5 linked regions of the Xenopus tropicalis genome follow. The protein of the gene in region 5 interacts with the protein of the main gene of each other region in a pairwise test. Links are inferred from orthologs where the notes say so. Each region holds a gene or a part of one and is shown on either strand. Other genes may lie near its edges. The genes, in order: tle5, capn3, bcar3, lnx1 and osgin1.

Evidence for each region.
Region 1: the proteins of osgin1 (region 5) and tle5 interact in binary tests that used the Homo sapiens proteins (3 or more experiments, as listed by UniProt). The two-hybrid records come from large-scale screens. The link is inferred for Xenopus tropicalis from reciprocal best matches to the Homo sapiens genes OSGIN1 and TLE5.
Region 2: the proteins of osgin1 (region 5) and capn3 interact in binary tests that used the Homo sapiens proteins (3 or more experiments, as listed by UniProt). The two-hybrid records come from large-scale screens. The link is inferred for Xenopus tropicalis from reciprocal best matches to the Homo sapiens genes OSGIN1 and CAPN3.
Region 3: the proteins of osgin1 (region 5) and bcar3 interact in binary tests that used the Homo sapiens proteins (3 or more experiments, as listed by UniProt). The link is inferred for Xenopus tropicalis from reciprocal best matches to the Homo sapiens genes OSGIN1 and BCAR3.
Region 4: the proteins of osgin1 (region 5) and lnx1 interact in binary tests that used the Homo sapiens proteins (3 or more experiments, as listed by UniProt). The two-hybrid records come from large-scale screens. The link is inferred for Xenopus tropicalis from reciprocal best matches to the Homo sapiens genes OSGIN1 and LNX1.

The regions. Positions count from the first base shown.
Region 1 is NC_030677.2:114,622,611-114,626,909, forward strand, and holds the start of tle5 (amino-terminal enhancer of split), read right to left. Parts: upstream 2,801-4,299; 5' UTR 2,531-2,800; coding exon 2,498-2,530; intron 991-2,497; coding exon 893-990; intron 1-892. UniProt on the Homo sapiens protein: Transcriptional corepressor. Acts as a dominant repressor towards other family members. Inhibits NF-kappa-B-regulated gene expression. May be required for the initiation and maintenance of the differentiated state.
Region 2 is NC_030684.2:109,270,529-109,274,046, reverse strand, and holds part of capn3 (calpain-3), read right to left. Parts: intron 2,909-3,518; coding exon 2,748-2,908; intron 1,534-2,747; coding exon 1,364-1,533; intron 309-1,363; coding exon 297-308; intron 1-296. UniProt on the Homo sapiens protein: Calcium-regulated non-lysosomal thiol-protease. Proteolytically cleaves CTBP1 at 'His-409'. Mediates, with UTP25, the proteasome-independent degradation of p53/TP53.
Region 3 is NC_030680.2:103,985,233-103,989,432, reverse strand, and holds the start of bcar3 (breast cancer anti-estrogen resistance protein 3), read right to left. Parts: upstream 2,814-4,200; 5' UTR 2,611-2,813; coding exon 2,521-2,610; intron 1-2,520. UniProt on the Homo sapiens protein: Acts as an adapter protein downstream of several growth factor receptors to promote cell proliferation, migration, and redistribution of actin fibers.
Region 4 is NC_030677.2:39,804,323-39,807,840, forward strand, and holds part of lnx1 (E3 ubiquitin-protein ligase LNX), read right to left. Parts: intron 1,432-3,518; exon of another isoform or gene 1,410-1,431; intron 744-1,409; 5' UTR 692-743; coding exon 297-691; intron 1-296.
Region 5 is NC_030680.2:47,894,420-47,898,726, reverse strand, and holds the start of osgin1 (oxidative stress-induced growth inhibitor 1), read right to left. Parts: upstream 2,818-4,307; 5' UTR 2,710-2,817; intron 1-2,709. UniProt on the Homo sapiens protein: Monooxygenase catalytic activity. Involved in regulation of cytokinesis; promotes RHOA activity, probably acting locally at the midbody in late cytokinesis.

The sequences.
Region 1 (4,299 bases), on a different chromosome or scaffold from region 5:
TGCAGTTGGACAGTACAGGTATTCAGCTATCTGGAAATCTGTTATCCAGAAAACTCCGAACAACGGTAAGGTCATCTCTCATAGGCCCCATTTCCATTTTCTCTGTAATAATAAAACAGTACCTTGTACTTGATCCTAACAAAGACATAATTAATCTTTATTGGAGGCAAAACAACACTGTTGGGTTTATTTAATGTTTAAATTTTGCTTTAGTGAACTTAAGCTATGGAGATCCAAGTTACAGAAAGATCCCTTATCCAGAAAGCTTCAAGTCCCAAGCATTCTGGGTAACAGGTTCCATACTTGTACAGACTTAGCTGCTTATACTAAAAGAATAAGGGTTCTTAAACACTGGCATTTTAGTGTAGGGACCCAAATATCAGTATATCATGTTTAAGGGCCAGGTTATATTAAATTTATGTCAAACAAGTTAGCTACAGGTCATCATGTATGTGTCCTAACAATACTATGCCATAAAAAACATAAAATGTAGTGTTTGGCTAATGTCGCATGGAGCCAGTCAGTCACCTGCAATAGATTTCTGCTACCATGGCTGACTACTGTGCCAAAATGCCTTTCCACTGGCAAGCCAAAGCGATGCGTATAACTTTCCACTGGCGACTCCTAACTCCTATTGTTGCAGGTGGAAAGGCATTTCGGAACAGCTAGTTGCCTGTGGTAGCAAAGATCTATAGTGGGCGACTAACTGCACCATTAGCCTTAAGGTGGCCGTACAGGGGCTGATTAAAGCTGATGACTTGGTTCCTCCCGACCTAGTCGGCAGCTTATTGGCATGTGTAAATTCTAGATAACAATCGGCAGGCTTGAAAACCTCATCAGACAAAAGGTGCATTGGCGTGGCCCTCAGTGTCAAAATGAAGCAATTTCCTACCTGTGATACTGTGCCTGCAGCAGTTGAAATTCATCCTTAATTCTATCACATGAATCTGAGGTTGTGAATTTGAGTTGCTGGGGCAAATGCGAAGAGCCCTAAGGAAAAAAAAATCATAATAGAAATTCCATGTGAAAACATTTGCAGCCTTAATGGAATCCACAGGACACTTGGCTAATTAGTGGTTAAATTAAAGGCATAGTATACCCCTTTAATGATCACCAGTCCATTGAGAAACCTCTGTATAATGAGCTACTCATTTCAGAGTCTAACAGGTTGCATCAAGGGGCAGGGAGGGGTTTATTTATACAAAGGGCTTCTCAGTGGACTAGTAATTTGTTTTGATTGTGTTCCCATGAGTCAGGAGGTAGAATAGGGTAAAAGAAGAGTTCTACAACAACTTTTGTCTTTGTTTGCCACCTCACCCCTTTACACCTAAATGGCTTATGCAATATGTATTATTATGTTAAGCTAAAAATACCTTTGGAAACATTAGCTGCCATATCAGTTAGATATCTGCTGGGCAGGTTTGAAAATATCATAAAATAAGGGCCACTTGGTTGTTTATACGCTCAGTTCCTAATCAACCAAGTATAGGCCCCTATAATGATCTGATCAGCGGCCATAAAGCCAAACAAACCTTGGTGGCCAAATCACAAGATAATTCACTTGTTTGCCGACTTCACCAAATGAGTGGATCTTTCAGTGTATGGAAGGCTTTAAGCACATAATACATGGCTGCAGCAAGCATAGTTATTACTAATAATTAGCTATTTCTGTTAAGTATATGTATCCCATTTCCAAGGGAGAAGGCAGCAACTAGAACACTGCTTGGTCATTATTTTGACAATTGGAGGCTCACTTTTCTGTGGTACAGTACATGATACATGAATATCTCAATTATGCACTGCCAATATGGTGAGGGCCACATTTGTCAGGCACCTCTGGTGATTACCTTGGACCCCAGGCTAATACTGCTCTTCACTAAAAAAAACACAGTGGCCAGGATACTATTTTAGGGTGCACCACCATCTTGCTTCCTTGCTGCTGCTCTGGGTCATGTGCAATACAGCAAAATATTTGGCTTGCAGCTTCAGTCCTGATTTTGCTCTATAGCATGTGCTCATTACCCAGGGCAGAAGTAAGAATTGCATGGACAGAAAGCAAGCTGGCAGCACTCCCTACAATAGTGCCCCAGGGCAGTGCAATTTTAAGCACAAAGGCAACTCCAATGGGGGGGATTGAGGCTAGTAATTATAATTATTGGGGAGGGGATGCCTACCATTGCCCCTTCCAGTAATTTCTTGTCCTTAACATGTATTTATAAAGAGGCAGCACATTGCACAGCAGTGTGTAATACTGGATATCACCTCGAAAATATAACAATGCTACCAGTGCTCTAGACGGCAAAGATGGATTCAACAGAATTCTGAAACTCTACTACAACACTAAGCCCTTTCGGCTCCTGCAACGGCAGGACTTCCTGCAACAAAAAAATCCTACCCCCATATTGCTTTTAGCGTCTCCAGCAGATGAACATGTTCTATACAAATATAACACACAATAATACAGTAGTACATTCAGTTCTACCCCTCGCCTTCTCACCGAGTGCCGGCTGCTGCTTTGAGGAAACATCATATCCCACCCGGCCCCGGTATGTACGGCGCTACGCACAGGCTCAGTATCCAAGGCCCGGCTTCCTGTGCGCTTTATCCAAGGGCTCAGTGCACTTTGGGAAGGCTTCGCTCTGCTTCTCAGCCGGCACTACTGCTTTGGGCCCAGATATGTGATCCGCAAACCCCAGATGATCTTCTGGCCGCTCTGTGTGCTGTCAACCAGGACCTCTACTGTCCCCTTGGCCTCGTCCCTTCTTGATCTCTAACCCGGTAATGCTCCCCCACCCCTGAGGCTACGGCCTGCCCTGCTTCACTACACGATCTCCTAGCTCTCTACCCACTCAGGAGCCTTTTGTTTAATGGCGTCTGTGCTTAAGCAGATATATGGCTCCCTCTACAGGTCACAGTTTCAATGATTCAATTTCCCATGTAAGGATCCCTTGTCCTTTTAGCTGATTTTAAAATTCCTGAAAAAATGAAAGCTTATCAGTTACATTCAATGAACCCTGCTATACAGACCTCAGTGGGAGCATCATTTCGCTAATTTTTAGAGGCTGCCTTATTTTAATCTCCCTTAAGAATATTTTTTGTCTCTGTATATATCTAAGGCTTTTACAACAATCATCTGAACTGAAGTAATTCAATTTTTACCAGTGGTGAAAGTAGATGTTACTAAGCCCTCAACATATTCATTAAAGGGGCACCCAAAATTTCTGGAGAAATTGTTTAGTAATTATGGCCCCACTGGGCCCTCAACATTTCTGGCCTGCTACAAACTCCTGGCTGCACAGATTTTGCTTCCAGACACTCACACATGATGTTCAGTTCTTGGTAATTATGGGGTGCAAAAGATAAGACACTGATGGCCTCGTTTACTAAGGGCCTACAGCACCATGTTGTTCAACCTTCACACCAATGCACTGAGCATTTGCATCTGATCAGTTTATGTTTAGATGAACACGGTTTCCCAATGGCACACTGGTGTAACAATGCAAAATGCTGACAAAAACATGGAGCCTTGCAGAATGACATCTAAGGCTAATGTCCCATGGAGCAAGTTAGTCGCCCGCGATAGATCTCGCTACCGCGGACGACTAAGTGCTCCAAAATGCCTTTCCACTGGCAACTATAGGAGTCGCTGGTGGAAAGGCCTACGCATCGCTTTGGCTTTCCCAATTCGCACAAAGTTTCCTCCTGCAGGCAACTTTGGAAAGCCGAAGCAATGCATAGGCCTTTCCATCGACTCCGATTGTTGCCACTGGAAAGGCATTTCAGAGTGATTAGTTGCCCGCAGTAGCAGAGATCTACAGCGGACAACTAACTTGCTCTTTGGGCCATCAGCCTTAAATGAACCAAATTATTTAACTAAAACAACTGTCTCACTGTAAATGTGATTTTGGGCCACAGTAAAAATCTCAACTTAATCAAGAAAAGTTTAAAGTAATAGGACAGCAAACAATACAGTACTAAATTCCTCTCTGCACCTCAGACTTATTTAGGCATTATTACAATATAGTTCTATATTGGACCATCATTTAGTCAAGAGGAAAAGGCTCAGGTTTTTTGAGAGATGAGAATCAACCAAACTCTAGCTTCCTGAAGCACTCAATTTAATGGTTGCACACAAAAAGTTGAGATTGTATCTGTTTTTTTTTAATCTGGTTTAATAAATGCTAGCTATATCCTACAATATCCAGTGTTTATAATAGTATCAGTTTATGCTATTGTGCTGACTTTGCCTTGTTGTTTTTTCACACCACAGTCACTCTGCTAATTAATCATTGGTCTGTA
Region 2 (3,518 bases), on a different chromosome or scaffold from region 5:
AGCAGCCATTTTGAATATAATTACTGTATTTCACTTTGGGGAATTATTATTGGGTGGGAAAGCAGTACATTAAGTACTTCTATGTACGTTAATGTCAACACGTTGTCCAAGGTTCCCACCTGCTTGCCCTACCCTCAGGGCCTACTCCTGCCCCAAAAGGAACCCTTTAGTCACTCATGCCCAGAAAGTTAGAAGTAACACAGCAAACAAACCCAACTGAAGATGTTCCAACAGGATCACAAAGCCACAAACAAATCAGCAAGCAGTTCTTCATTACCCATCCTTACACATCATACCTCTTTTGGAACCTTAAAATGAAAAATAAAATAATTGTTAAATATAATTTGTAAGAATAAAGTCAGGAAGAACAATACAAAAATAGAGCTAGATAAAGTCAATAGTCTGTACGGGCAATCAGGGCCACCATCAGAAACTTTGGGGCCCAACACAAGTTATTCATATGGGTCCCCCCATTAACACAAGCACGCAGTACCAAAATTATGGCAATGCCCCTTGTGTAAATATATAAACAACTTATGTTACTCTATAATAAGCAGTGCATATAAAAAGTTCAATTGATTAATTTGCTCATAATTCAGTCAGTTCATAGGGGGTCAGTTGAGTTTGCCCCAAGTTTAACCCCTTCCCACCTACCTACCCCTGTTCTGTGCTGTCATTGCTTGATATTGAAGTTACATATGTTTTTGCATAAGTTATTTAAACTGCGTAAGTTTAGGGGCCAATGATGTTGCTGTGGGGCCCAATAACCAGTTATTCCCCTGCTGCAAAGTTCATTAACTCATATAATTCAGTTAATAGATCCCAATATAAACAGCTGATTTTACGTTATAATAAGCAATCCATATAAATAGTTAAAGTGATAATCAATGTGCTAATAAGTCAGTCAGTTTATTGGGGGCAGTGGAATTTTCCTTAAGTTTTTTAATTCATTGGGGGTCAGTGGAGTTTGTCCCTGCAAAGCTTCTGCATTGGCTTTTGCTTGATTCGCAAGTTACTAGGCAGGTTTTGTAGTTTTTGCAGAAGTCACGTAAATTGCATAATTGTGTTTTGGCATAACTTTATGCGTAACTTGCGCAACTTTTGTGAAGTGACTGGGTGCCTTAAGGAAGAAGATTTCTCAGGGCCAGGCACAATAGTACCCCATCTCCCCCCAATGGCAGCCCTGTGGGCAATTTACTAAGACCTTGGGTAGAAGTGCAAGAGCACGCCCCTTATTGCTCATTCAGAGCACTTCTGCCATGGATCTGGCTGAACTCTACACCTTGTGCCGAATAACTTGCTATTATAAGGTACTGTTTGACATCATATAGAGAACGTTAGAGCTCAGCTACAATTCAGTTACCTCATATATTGCAAAACCAATGGTGAAAAGATTGGCTCCTGCCTTTCGATCTTTCCTTCGATTCTTCTGCATTAAAGCAACAACAAAACTACAGACAACCTCATTGTCAGCAGGGTCATCATCCTCCTCCAGCAGCTTAAGACGATACTGAGGGTTGGTCCAGTAGGTGTCTGCAATGGTATGGATACATTCATGTCATTATATACATTTTCTTGGTAACGGTGCCACATCCTCATGAGCAGCTATTTATATGGTGCTGTATCACAAGCATTGGCAAAAGGAAGACCACCTCTACTGTAACACCTCTGTCCCAATTCCTAAATCTAATAAATAAGGAAATGTGCTGACATGATCTGTCCATAGACTCACAACAATGAATACTAAAAATTCCATTCTCCAAGACATAAGCTTAAATGTGACCCCTAACTTCCCTACTTCATACATCAGTTACAGTCCTACAATTACCACTGAGTACTGGAATCTAGGTTGTATGTGCCGGTCCATTGGTAACATGCTAGATAAAGGCTTAGAAAATTAGGAAGTTTGAGGGTTTTTAAAAGTTTGGATCTTTTGATAAATGACTGACATTCATAAAAATGGGGTTTCAGAAACCTCTAAAACCATGAATGAGAATGTTGATAAATGAGCCGCAGTGTTTGTGAAGTTATTCTATAATGCTTCAAATATAAATAGATGCCTCTTAAGCTGGCCATACACACACCGATGATATCGTACAAAACCTCGTTTCCAGTGTTCGGTGTGCAATTCAAGGAAGGCAAAATGGCTGAGCTGTGCCAAGTTTATGTATATGGAGGTGCAGGGAGTGCATCTTGACGCAAGTAACTTTAATGAAAGTCGTTTTAAGTGTAACTGACTGTGGGGAAATAGCGGGGACAACAACTTACTTGCGGTCATAAATAAGCCCGAGTATCTCTCTCTACCCTAAAACTAGCTGGAAATTTGGATTTAGCCTGAAACTGGAATAACACATTCATCAGCTATCCAAATTTACAAACATCTTAACTCCAATCAGATTTTTACAATGCCCACCTTCGCATTTTTTAAAATCAAAATGTTATGGTGACATTGCTTCTTTTTATGACGATTTTGCTCCATTTTTACAAAACTCCACCTTTGGAACCCCCCAGCAAGCAAGGTGTGATATGGCTACAGATCCATACAAGTTGATGCACTTATAGTATATAGCAAGATATTTAAGTGTGTAAAATATTTTGCATCATTAGCCTTGGGAGGTTATTGATAGTATTATTTAGACCAACACCGTTAAATGTATCCAGGATGCAACGTTAACACCTACAGTATAGGCAACATAACCATGACAGGAAGCTGATGCCTTATTCTTCTTCTTCAGCTAGTTTAGTACCTGGATAATTGCGACAGCCTCCTGCTGAGCAACCCCTGACCCATCTCCCTTCATTTACAGACACTGTCCATACTTGGAGTGAGTCCGAATCCAGTGCATCTGGTGTCAGATTGCAGATTTCAGCCTTGGTGAAATTCTTCATAAAATCATCATAAGACATCCTAGGAAAATGTATACAAGGAGAAAATAATCAAAATTGTAATTTCAAAATGATATACCGTGACATAACAGCGAGAACACTTGTGGAAGGGTGATATGTCTCTCCAAGTATATAATAATGTGGAACGAGCATGACAGCCCCCAAATGTTTTATAAGTCATGCAGGTAAAGAAGGATGTTAATGAAAAATGACCTCAAAGACGATACAAAGGTGAAAGAAAACACCTGAGGGTCTCAAACTGTATTTTTCTGTATTAATATAAGAATGCCATGAATAACCCATACAATTTTCTTATAAAATGTGCACAGGTTGTCATCAGTTGAAACTTTGATCTTCCGTTATTTGCAGCTATTTCCTTTTTTTTTATATCTTTATGTCATATCTGTACAGAATATTTATATATATATTTCCAAAAAGATTACTGCGAGTGCACTCCAGGGTCTTTTCCATAAAAACGATCTTTATTGTAATATTGTTGCCATCTTATCAACGTTTCGGCTCTGGCCTAGAGCCTTTATCTTGAAAAAGGCTCTAGGCCAGAGCCGAAACGTTGATAAGATGGCAACAATATTACAATAAAGATCGTTTTTATGGAAAAGACCCTGGAGTGC
Region 3 (4,200 bases), about 56 Mb from region 5:
TTTTCTGTTGTATTGTAAGAGATGCTATATAATATCATTTTAATTGCACTATTTTATTCATTACCTGCCCAACAATTAGCAATCTCAGACAGACTAATATAACTGGAGATGGCACTAGGATACAGTGATGACATTCTGGGTGCCGTATATAATTAGGAACTCTTTACACATGTACCAAAAGTCATATGAAACGGTGCATGTATGGCCATGTACACACGCATGCTTAGACTATGCCTTGAGCATGGGGTCCAGCTGTGGACATTGTGTAAAAACATTTTTTTTTTCATGATTTATATGTAAATGTGTATATGTTAATATAATTAAAGAAATGAAATGGAAGATTTAATTTAAAATGCATACTGATATTATCAATATGTGCAAATAAGAACAAGACCAATACAAACATGTAGCAAAGCATTGTACAATAAGACGTGAAGGTGACACTGGCATCCAGCAAAGAGGTACCTACCATAAATATGAGTGGGAAACAGCACCAGTGCTGGCACTTTTCGGCCTAAAAAAGTGCTTTAAAGCACTAGTAGAGGTATAGGACCTATTATCAAAAATGCTTGGGACCTGGGGTTTTCCCGAATAAAGGATCTTTAAAAATTTTGGATCTCCATACCTTAAGTTTGCTAAAAAATCGTTCAGATATTGAATAAGCCCAATACGTTTGTTTTGCCTCCAATAAGGACTGATTATATCTTAGTACCTTGTACTTAAGGTGGCCATACACGGACCGATTTTTTACTTACAAACGACCGATTCCCGAACGATCCGATGCTATCGTTAAGTTATCGTATAGTTGGTGGTGTACGAACGATCGTCGGCCCACTAAACGAGCCGACATTATCGTCCCCAAAATCGATCGACCAGGTTTAAAAATTTTGGTCGTTTAACGATAAAATCTGCCAGTTGGTGTGAGTGTCAGACATTTGTCTTTCAACGATTGTTCTCTGCGCATGTCACGATTGCCAGCAGCGGAAGTCAACGACATCGATCGTACGTAGATGTACGATCGTAGGTATTTTACGATAATGATGCGACAAAATCTTTCCCGAATTATCGTTGCCCGTGGATGGCATATCGTATGGGAACTCGATCGCCATACGATCGTTTGTCGATATAATCGTTCATCGCACAACGAGCGAAATCGCCTCGTGTATGGCCACCTTTAATCCAAACTGTTTTTTTTTTTTTAAGTACAGGAAAAAAGGGAACCATTTTCAAAAATTAGAATTATTTGCTTATAATTGAGTCTATGGGACAAGACCATTCCGTAATTTGGAACTTTCTGGATAACAGGTTTCCAGATAACAGATCCCATACCTGTACTAGTATTGTAATGGTTTTACCATTAAGGTAAATGAGGGTTGAGGGTTAATTAAGGTCATTTGGCTAACTTAGGAATGCTAGACCTGCATCACTGGTGAAGTTACATTCTTTCCCTTAGATATAGGGATCTGTGTTGCACACCTTAATAAGCACAGGGCCCACCATCAATATATCTGAACACAATGTATAGTATCTCCTGGCTGTATGAAGCAGTAAATTAGCGTTGCCTTTACCCTGATGTAATTGAGCTGTTTTTGAGCAACAGCAGGTTAGAGTATTGGAAGTTAGAGTTCACAACAAGCAGAGATCCACTGATGGCTTCCTCTGCACATGGTGAGGAGAAAAGTATTCTAAGAAGTATTTGGATGAATGACTTGTATTTTACAGACACTTGCTCTGAATGATTCTTGGAAAAAGACAAAAATGATAAAAATATGCACTGAAACCTTATAAATTCCCTGCAGTAAAATCAAACTTTGTTGAAAAGTCTTACTTGTGTATGTATTTCATATTAAGGCATTTCAACAATTATAAACAAAAAGGCACTAAACTTATGGGAACAATACAAAAGCAAAAAATGGACTATACAGTGACAACTTCTGTGAACACAAAGTTCCTCAATGTATATATTATATTCCAGAGCAAGGCTGTCAAAATGGAGGCGCAAGGGCTAGGCGTGGACCTCCAAGGGATATTATGGCTGCTCACGTGTTCCAAAGACTTCTTTATATTAAATAACCATTTTTAAATAACCCAGCCTCAAACTGAAAGCAAACCCAGAATCCTTAGGAAAGGGCTGTTTGCAGCAAATTTTTAATTACAACAATACACAATAAGGTGTATACATTCATCAAATGCACCAATGAACAGATCAGACACTAAGTATAGGCAACCGTGGTTGGGAAACTACGGCTCCAAGCATCTCTACTGGCATCTCTAAGTTCTAGAGTTGCATGTTCTTTTTCTAAATATGATTAGAGACCCAGGATTAAATACTTGTGTATGACAGACTTAAACATCTAATGCCTGTTGGAAGATACAAGATCAGTAGTCCAGCAACAGCTGGAGGGTCAATGTCTACAGTTTGAGCAAATGAGACACTAATGCCACACATACATGTTACAAAGAGAAGGCAGGCCACCCTGCACTGAGTCTAAGCATACATTCACGTAACAGAACACTCACCTTCACCACAATGACGGATTTCCGATGGTAGAAACAGCACAGGGCTGATGTTAAAGTCTCAAAGAAATTACAGAAACAATCCTTAGACATTTTCAAAGCTTTCGAGGGGAGGTTATTAAGCACTTAAAGGATTACAGCACAAAACCTTTGGCTGTTCCCACGATAATGCCTTCATTCACTGCAAAGTTCCAATTTGCGCTGTGATCCTACATTGTCCCTGTGATCCTACAATCTGCCTTGCACTGTGACATTTGGCTGGGGCTGTTTGCTCGGATGGGGCTGTGACTGTGAACTCAGTGAATTCTGGCATGCAGTCACACAGCCTCCATGTATAGAGTGCTGCAAGTCTCATGTGACCCCTTCAGCTCTCCAATGAAATTCTAACCATCTGAGAAGCCCTTACTAGCTGGTCTCCCTAAGGGATTTATTTCTGTATACAAAATATTAGACATCTCTCTGCTCCTCACATACCTCATGCACCATGCTCTCTGTCACCAGCAATATTTCCTACAGCCTCTAGCCTCACTAGAGGTAAATGCCAAAGCCCTACCTACTATTAACCTTGACTCACAAATCCCACACTCTCCAGTGTGAGCAGTTTATTTGGAGAATGTGGAAGCAGGCTGATAATTGATTCCTCTAAATGGCAATCTGCTTCTGTTGCGCTGAGATAAAGGGGGGGAAATCTTGCACTGTTTACTTTTAATTAGAAAAACCGTGTTAGTGGACGGTAAGGAGCTGAAACTCAAAGCCCTGGGCACTGCTGCAGCGGCCTGCTAACAGCTTGCAAATAGGCAGTGTTTAACCAGCAGGCTCATTTCCAAATAGCACTGAGAGGTGTAGCACTCATTCATTCAGAAAAGGGAACTACTGTACTATTTGCACTTCACTTAAATGCCATAGAGGTTTCTGCCATCAGCTGGGTAATGGTGACCAGGTATAGTGTACTAACTTTGCAATAAAAGTTTTGATGTTCTTGGGTTAATGAATAAGAATTTTTTTTACTATGTCAGTCTGTAAAAAACATTGCCTTCTTATCATATTCATCTTTACTGGTAGGGTGAGTGCTATCTCTATTCTCATCTAGCCTTTTCACTTATTTAGTCCTTCGGCTGATCCATCGGCTGACATCGATAGGTTACAGGCTGTCGGCATGAGGCCCACTTTAATGTGCCAATGCATTTCTTCTCCCAATGGGTTTTTAAACCTGCCCGATCAACATCTGAGGGCCCCATGCACTGGCAGATAAGCCGCTGACCTTAAGGGCTCTGGCACACAGGGAGATTAGTCGCCCGCGACAAACTTCCGCGAATTAGTTGAAATTGCGGCACGGCGTATGCCATCCCACCCGCGATTTCAATTTTCGCCGGTGGAATGCCAATTCGGGGAGATTAGTCACCCGCGAAAAGAGCGATTTGTTGCGGGTCTGAATTCCATGCTTTTTATTGACCACTCTTCACTGTCAAACAGCAACTCTGCACAGTATCCATGTCGCCAGCTCCCCACCACCTGCTCATCACTCCATTCCACACCCTGGCTTGGCCCAGCACTGAGTGAGGTGAGTATATAATGTAAGAGTTTCTTTTAATCTAAAATTATTCTATTAGATGGAGATAGGTACACTTACATGCCTAGTAAACCTGGCTTTAATTGCATTTTGATTGAATTGCTTAAATGACT
Region 4 (3,518 bases), on a different chromosome or scaffold from region 5:
GTTTCATGCTTGTGTGGCTCACCAACACGTTTTATATCTGAGTGTGGCTCACAAGTAAAAAAAGGTTGGGGATTCTTGCACTAGAGGTTTCTAATCTAGACACCTGGACAAAATTATAACCTGTACCAAAGGCAGCACTATTGTAAATGCATAGATGCTCACCAATTCAGAATAATGGAGATTAATTCAACAGCAACAACAATCAGTTGCATAGTCATAGAACTAGAACAAACACAATGTTATAAGTGACTTGGAAAACAGATTTACCATAACATAGACATAGAGAAGGAACATACCTGTTCTGGAAGTGTTCCTCAAGGTCACACCGTTGAACAATATCTGTACAGTGTTCCTTAAATGGGCAGATGACTGGAAGTTTATCTAAAAGATTTTTTACAAGTATGGTGGATTTCTTGCAAGTCTGCAACAAAATATGCTTACGATCCACAGGGCAAAAGTCTTCATGGACTAGAAAGCTAGTGAGGCAGAGAGTACAGTAGGTATGGCCACATGGAGTGTCTAGCGGTTGTATGAGGGCATGCAAGCAGATATTGCACAGCAAATCATCATCCACTTCCTCAGTGTATGTATAAGAATGGTTCTCCTCTTCTGAATGCAGTTGACCACATACAGTACACAGTGATTGGGGTTTTTCATTGTCCAGTTCTTCAATTGCATCATTTGACTCCATAATGTAGGGTGCAGAGCAAGGAGATTTCAGTCCCAATCTTGATCACACAAACCTGTATGGCGTTAATACAGACAACAAAACACATTAGTGCCTATAGCCTAAATAAGTTTTGTATATCTTAATAATAAAAAAGGCCCTTGTACATGATTTTTATTAAATTATGATATATCTATGTTGATGCAAAATAATCCCTTTTACAGTTGAAATGTTTTAGTAGCCATAATGCATCGTGTCCCACATTCGTGAAAGACCCCTTTATAATGAAAAATACCAGGTTACAAATATTCCATATATTACATACCTGTTTAATGGGATAGAAAGAGAGAAATATTACCCATATCTGTGGAATAGTACAATAAATCACTCCCTGAGAGGGCTGGACAAGAATAACTGGCCATACATTTTGACAGGGGTGTTTGTGGAGTAAGGGATGATTATTAATGCTCTTGCTTCTGAAATCAATACAAACTATATAATACGCATTTAGACATGTAAGGTAAATTGTTGCATAAAAAGTAGGGGATTTAAACATTTACAGTATTAAAAAGATACTTAAGAGTAGAAGGTAGCTCATATGGCTTGTTATCAATAGGCAGCATCTGTGGTGGCATGGGTGGCTTGCACATCTGGGAAGGCACCATTAAAGCTGGAGGTTTTGGAGCAACATACTGTATGCTGCCATCTAGACAGCGTCTTTTTCAGGGAAGGCCATACTTACTTCAGCAAGACAGTGCCGAACTGCATTCTGCATGGCTTTACAACAAGTAAGAGATTCTGGGTGATAAACTGCCTATCTGCCTGCAGCCCAGACCTGTCACCCATCCAAAACAATCATAAGAAAGAAAACAATAACAAGTTTTAATATTTAATATGTTACCTTTGTACTATCTGCAATTAAATATAGGGTTTACATAATTTGCAAAGTATTGCAGTATCTTTTCATTTACATTTTTCATTTACATTTTTACTTTTTTGGAAACAGGGTTGTACCATTTACTGGAATCACAAATCACAATTTCATATTAAGACAAGTTTGTAGGTACAAATTGGTGTTTATGACAGTATTAAATAATGAAGGTGCACTACATTTATCGAGAATGTGGGTGTTACCTCATGCTGGCTGCTTAAATGAATGCCCCTGGATATTTATTATTCTGTAACATTCCTTGCACTAAAGTAAATATCCATTCCATCAGATAGACAAGAATAGATCCATCTTCATGCCAGTCTCAACCTGCCCTCGATACAAGAGCTAAAGTCATTTACGGAGACATCTCATGTCTCTTATTTCACAAAACAAGGGTGACTCCTGTAAAGTGTTCTGAAAGCGCCTTTGAGAGGAACAAAGAAGTCTTGAGATAGAAAGTGCAATTCATTATAAACACAAAGTATACAATATACACTGGTTTGGATAAGTGATTATTGTACAAATAGGGACCAATCAAAAAAATCTATTATGGGCAGAACATTTCCTATGAATGTATTTATTTGCTCTAACCTGAAAAATATTTGACCTCCTTTTTGATAAGCAATATTATTTTATATCTGCTTGTTTAGGGAGGATCATTTCCTGTTAAATATACGACTTGCCGCCACACCCATGGGTACTAGTTTTATACTAGCTACTATTCCTTCATAGAGACTTCCATCCTTTTGTAACACCAATCTGTTTAGGGAAAGCCCATGACATATATGTACTTTTACAGATGCAAGCAATAACAACCACTTGAAAACATATTTTTTGGCGAATTTGTAAATTATAAAACCATATTATTGAAGTGTAATAAAATAAGATCATTCACCCATTAATGACAGCAGTTAAGTATCATTATGAGGTGTGCTTAAGAAAACATGAAATGTTACATAAAAATAGCCAGATTAAATCAGTTAATACATTGCCAGGAATTATAGGGGCTCATTTATGACTGCAAGTGCAGTGTGCGATTTCAGGAGGACGTCTCCAAATTTGCAAGTGGGCGGGGGAACTCCTGTGGGGGGGAGGGGCATGTAGAGTTTGCTACCAAGCCCCTCTGAATTTTTTTTTGCAGGGGGTCCAGTGCAGAGTATTTACACCACTGGTTCCCCTGCATCAATAGGCACACTGTGTGTAACTTACAATAGGAGGTATAACCAACAGCATTTAGTGCAACTATGTGAGAGTTCAAGAGGCCGCTTTAGACACTTTAGATGTACGCACCTTTATGGAATGTTGTATATTCATGCAACAACAGCACAACCACAACTGCTCTTGTGGGTCATACATGTAACAGAGCATGGGCAATGATATTGCACAGGCACATTCTATGGTTTAATTCTATAGTTAGCAACGTGAAAAAAGAATTAAGTTCATGGAATAATTAAGTCTAATTAACATGCCACCGACCCCTCGGGGGAAGATACCGTTCCCTTAAAGCCAAGTTTCTGATCTATAGATGTTTTGGCAGAAGTTTTAGACTTGCCTTAACATGCAGGTTTCTGTTAGGTTATAATGGTATTAGCTGGAAATTGCCCAAACTTGCATTCCTGCATTCAGTACAGTTTCACTTGTCATTAGGAGCATCTTTGTGATTGTAAAAAGCAAAGCAAAGGGAATTCCAAACATCTGTCCTCCATCAGTTGTTATACGTCAACAGACCCCACCTCTGATAGTAGGGGATGATGGAAGTTGTATTGTAACTGCAGCTGGAGGGCAGAAAGTCTATAATAAAATGGTCATTGAGGCTGGATAGGGAGGATTCAAGATATTGTATGTGGAACTTTATACCAGCGCAGCAACCTGTGGCAACCAGACCTTTGTTATGACTACATTTAACTATTGATCAGAACT
Region 5 (4,307 bases):
GTTGGGTCTGTTTACACTGGAGAAGAGGATTTTTTACTGTGAGAGCTTGTGAGGTTGTGGAATTCCCTCCCCGAATCAGTTGTGCTGGCTGATACATTATATAGCTTTAAGAAGGGGCTGGATGGATTCTTAGCAAGTGAGGGAATACAGGGTTATGGGAGATAGCTCTTAGTACAAGTTGATCCAGGGACTGGTCCGATTGCCATCTTGGAGTCAGGAAGGAATTTTTTCCCCTCTGCGGCAAATTAGAGAGGCTTCAGATGGGGTTTTTTGCCTTCCTCTGGATCAACTAGTAGTTAGGCAGGTTATATATAGGCATTATGGTTGAAAGTGATGGACGTATATCTTTTTTCAACCCAACTTACTACGTTACTATGTAACTACCTTGTCTAAATAAACCTTTTTAATAAAAAAAATTTACTTTTATAGAAATATGTGGCATTGCACATTTTTTCAAGTACCGTTTTAAGTGCCATTTTAAGTACTAAGGGCTTTCCCTTGGCTCATATGATTCACTAATCAAAGGCACACATACATACCAGGTTACAATAACCAGTGAATGGACAGAGCTCTTCTACTACTTTATGTCAATTTTACTCCTACACTTCTTCTTGTCAGAGTTAGTTCCCTGTCAGGTTGGCTTCTCCATCACAGTCTGGGTATGGATCCCCTTAGTTTACAGATTTATTAAAAAAACATGGCCCGAGCACACACTTGCCATCATTTGCAAAGTCCCTGGACAGATGCGCACATGACTGCACTCCTTAATGCTCAATCACTGAAAATCTAGGGCAGTATTGTGTGGAAGATATCAGATTCTAATGCATTCCTGGTGACTACCAAATCATACTAAAGTACTACTGACTGGCCACGAATGTTGGGTTGTGTGTGACACCGAGTAAAAACAAGAGGAAAGGCTTGTCTGTTACTGTATAACAACCAGCAAGACAGCAGGGCCGGGTGTGAAGAATGCGATCAAGCTGTGTTAAACCCACACCAAATATTTCTAATTACTAATAAAGAAGTATTTGGGTATATACATTGAATGCACAGAATTTCATCGAACAGTGATGTGGTTGAATACATTCACATTCCCACAAGTCATTCTCATCTCTTCTATAAACTTTTGCAAGTGAAAAGAATCCAGTTACCCTGGTTTACTCCTTGACATATTTTTTCATTTTTTTCTGTGCATTATATCAGTGTCATGAACTTTCTTACATAACTCATAACAACATGCATGCACTGTTATGGGGCATGTATTTTACTCGGAAATACAGCAGTTACTTTTGTATATATGTAACATAGATTTTCTTACTTACAAAGGTTCTGTAGGCAAAAAATGGACACAAAGCCCCATGTATTTTGTTTACTATGCACCTGACCCATGCATTTTGCCTCATGCTTTTAGTAGTTGCTTCTATCTTTGTACGCACTACAGTTTGTGCCCGCTCTTTCTGTTAAAATATGGCCTGCTGGTTAGGATTTTCTATTCTCATAAACTTTAGCCTTCCTGATATAATTCCAATGTAGGGCCACAATTCATTCTGTGAGAAAATGTTATGATTTATCATGTGAAAATTTACAGGCAAGATTACATTTGAGCAGAGAAAGCATTTCTCCTGCTTCAGTTTAATTTTTTTCTATAGATTTCAACAGAATTTTTATGTGATGAAGAGTGAGATACATTTTTCTACTTGAATTTCATCTGGCTCTTTGGGAAGATCTGCAATTGTATCAGGATATAAGCTTTTCTCATCAAATTGAATCTGGCCCATAATAGGACATGTGAGGTATAAATTATAACGTACCCACATCTACTGCAATGGTTTATATACTTTTTTATGGTCATGCACCCCTCTGAAGTCCAACATTTCATTATGGTCCTATTAGCTCAAAGTGACAACTATAGAAAACATACATATATCAGTGTTTTAGCAACAGGTCCAAGATTATATAAAATATTAAATAAGTGTTCACACCAAAATACACAGAAGTTAACAGAGTGGGGATTCCATTCTCCCCCCAACTTTCTTTACCAGACCTTCAAACTAGACCCCTAGTCCCTGCACCAGGGCGCCATAGGGGGCAGCCACACAATTATGGAATCATTGCTATACAGCATGATGAGCAATGCTATCTGTTCTATTTAGTATATGCTCTATAGCTCAGTGAGGATGAACATTCTCCCTGCCACTTGTAGTATATTGTAAAGTGATTATCCTACCTGTTTCCTGTAGTGAATACTATACACTACAGTTGCTGCATACCCTGAGAGGACAAACCAAATAGAACAGTAGATGTCCATTCTACTCTGTGTGGTACAAAATGTACAGTACAGTGAGCAATCAGTGCTCCATTTACAGTAGAACAAACAAAGAACAGTAATTTATTGTTCTAATCCTTTTATTAAATGAACTGTTAGCTTTACAAAGGCACCCTACCTGCTTCCTGTATTCCCTGGATATTACTGTGGGAATCAAGTTTACATAAAAGAATATAAAGGTTTCACTTTTGAAAACAGTTTCTATTTCACCAGTTTTACTTTAAATCCACTAGTTGACTCCTAGGCTGCCGCCCTAAATGTGAATTTTGTTTGTATATATTGTTTTTTGCTCCTCTGAGCACAGTTACAGTACTGGCTTATCACTAGGCAATTAGAACTGTGTAAGTACTATGCTATATTCAGTCCTCATGCTGCTTTCTTACCAGTGCAGAAGAAGTATCCAGTGGGCAACTGATATTCAGGCAGATGTCTGCTGCTAAAAAAAAACTTCAACCTTCTATGCATGTGCAGTGATCAGACTGGCTGGTTAAATAGAGCTGGGGACTGATAGTGTGAGAGGGAGGAGCTGCCCTGGGAAAGAAATGAATTTTAAAGCATAAGCATGAGTCAGCAGGACAGCTTATGAATGAATCAAGCTGCAGTGACATAACCACCATTACAAGACTGCCACTGCTGTAAAGCATAGCCAGAGAGCCAGAGGAGGGGAGGAAGGCAGGTTGGCAGGCTGACCAAGGGGTGAACCACTATGGATAGTTTGTACTGGTGGCTAGCAGACAAGTAGATACAGACAGAAAGTGACAGATGGTAGAGGAGAGAACATCCTGTGAGAAGAATTAAAACTTGGAAAGGGAAATAATCATATCATCAGGGATGAAAGTGCAAGACCTCATTCACTCTAGCATTTTGTCTTCCCCCTACCAAATGTCTGACCATTAGTTCTATTAAGATTCAGTCTAATTTAGTTGACTTGAACTTTTCATTTTAAACAAAAAATGATACACAAAACTGCAATGTGGAAAAATCTGTTTGCCTTGGCAGAAGGCAAACTGTAAAATTTGCAGCATGGTACAACAAAAGCATCTGGCAGCCAGTAAAGATGATCTACTTTTGAATGGTGTAAAAGTTCAGTTCAGAAGCAAATTCAATTTCTGAAGTGCCAAGTGCCAAGATCTATACTAAACCCTGGGGGTCAAACTCCTACCCCTCTTTATTTAGCTGAAGTAGGACTTTGCTTCTTTCTTCACTTGCTTGACCCCTGCTTTACCCTAAAGTGAGTTTGTAGGAGTTAGTTAAATTACATTGCTAAGGTCCACTGTTACCCCATTCAATTCCTCCTTAATTCAGGTGAGAGCGTGTCATCTCATCTCCTTATCCAGTATCAGGTGACCAATGTCAAACTAAGTATTCTGGGCCCACTGGAGAACGTGACCTCAAGGGCCCCCACCACCACAGACCCACCACCACCACAGACCCACCACTACAGACCACCCCCCTGCTCTTGACACTATTCTGTCTTTCTCTATCTTGTGTAGCTAAGCCAAAGGTACCTACCAGGATTTCTCCAGTGAAATCGAATATGCATTACATTTACTAAATTTCTTTGTGCCCTATCCCATAGAGGAGCATAAGTCTGTTATCTTCGTAGATTTCTTAAGAACTCCCTGCTCCGCATATTCAGTCCATGCACTGTTAATCTATGGAAAAACATTTACATATAGTGTATGTTACTGTGCAGAGAAGGGAAATTGTGTATTTATAATATATTATTTATTTATTTACTTAACAGCAGTGTTTTATGTAAACATTAGTTTAATGTTATTGGGAGCAATGAATAACTTCAGACCTGTCTTTGGCACAAATTCTATTTCAGGCATTTAGAGAGCTGCTCAGTAACAATAGGCTTCTGCTCAGAAACAGTTCCATGTTGTGAGGCAAGGAGAAAAGGAAGGCAAGGATCTCCCTATTTAGAAACAGTAAAGGAATTGTTTCTGTACACCAACAGTTTATTACCACTAGGGAT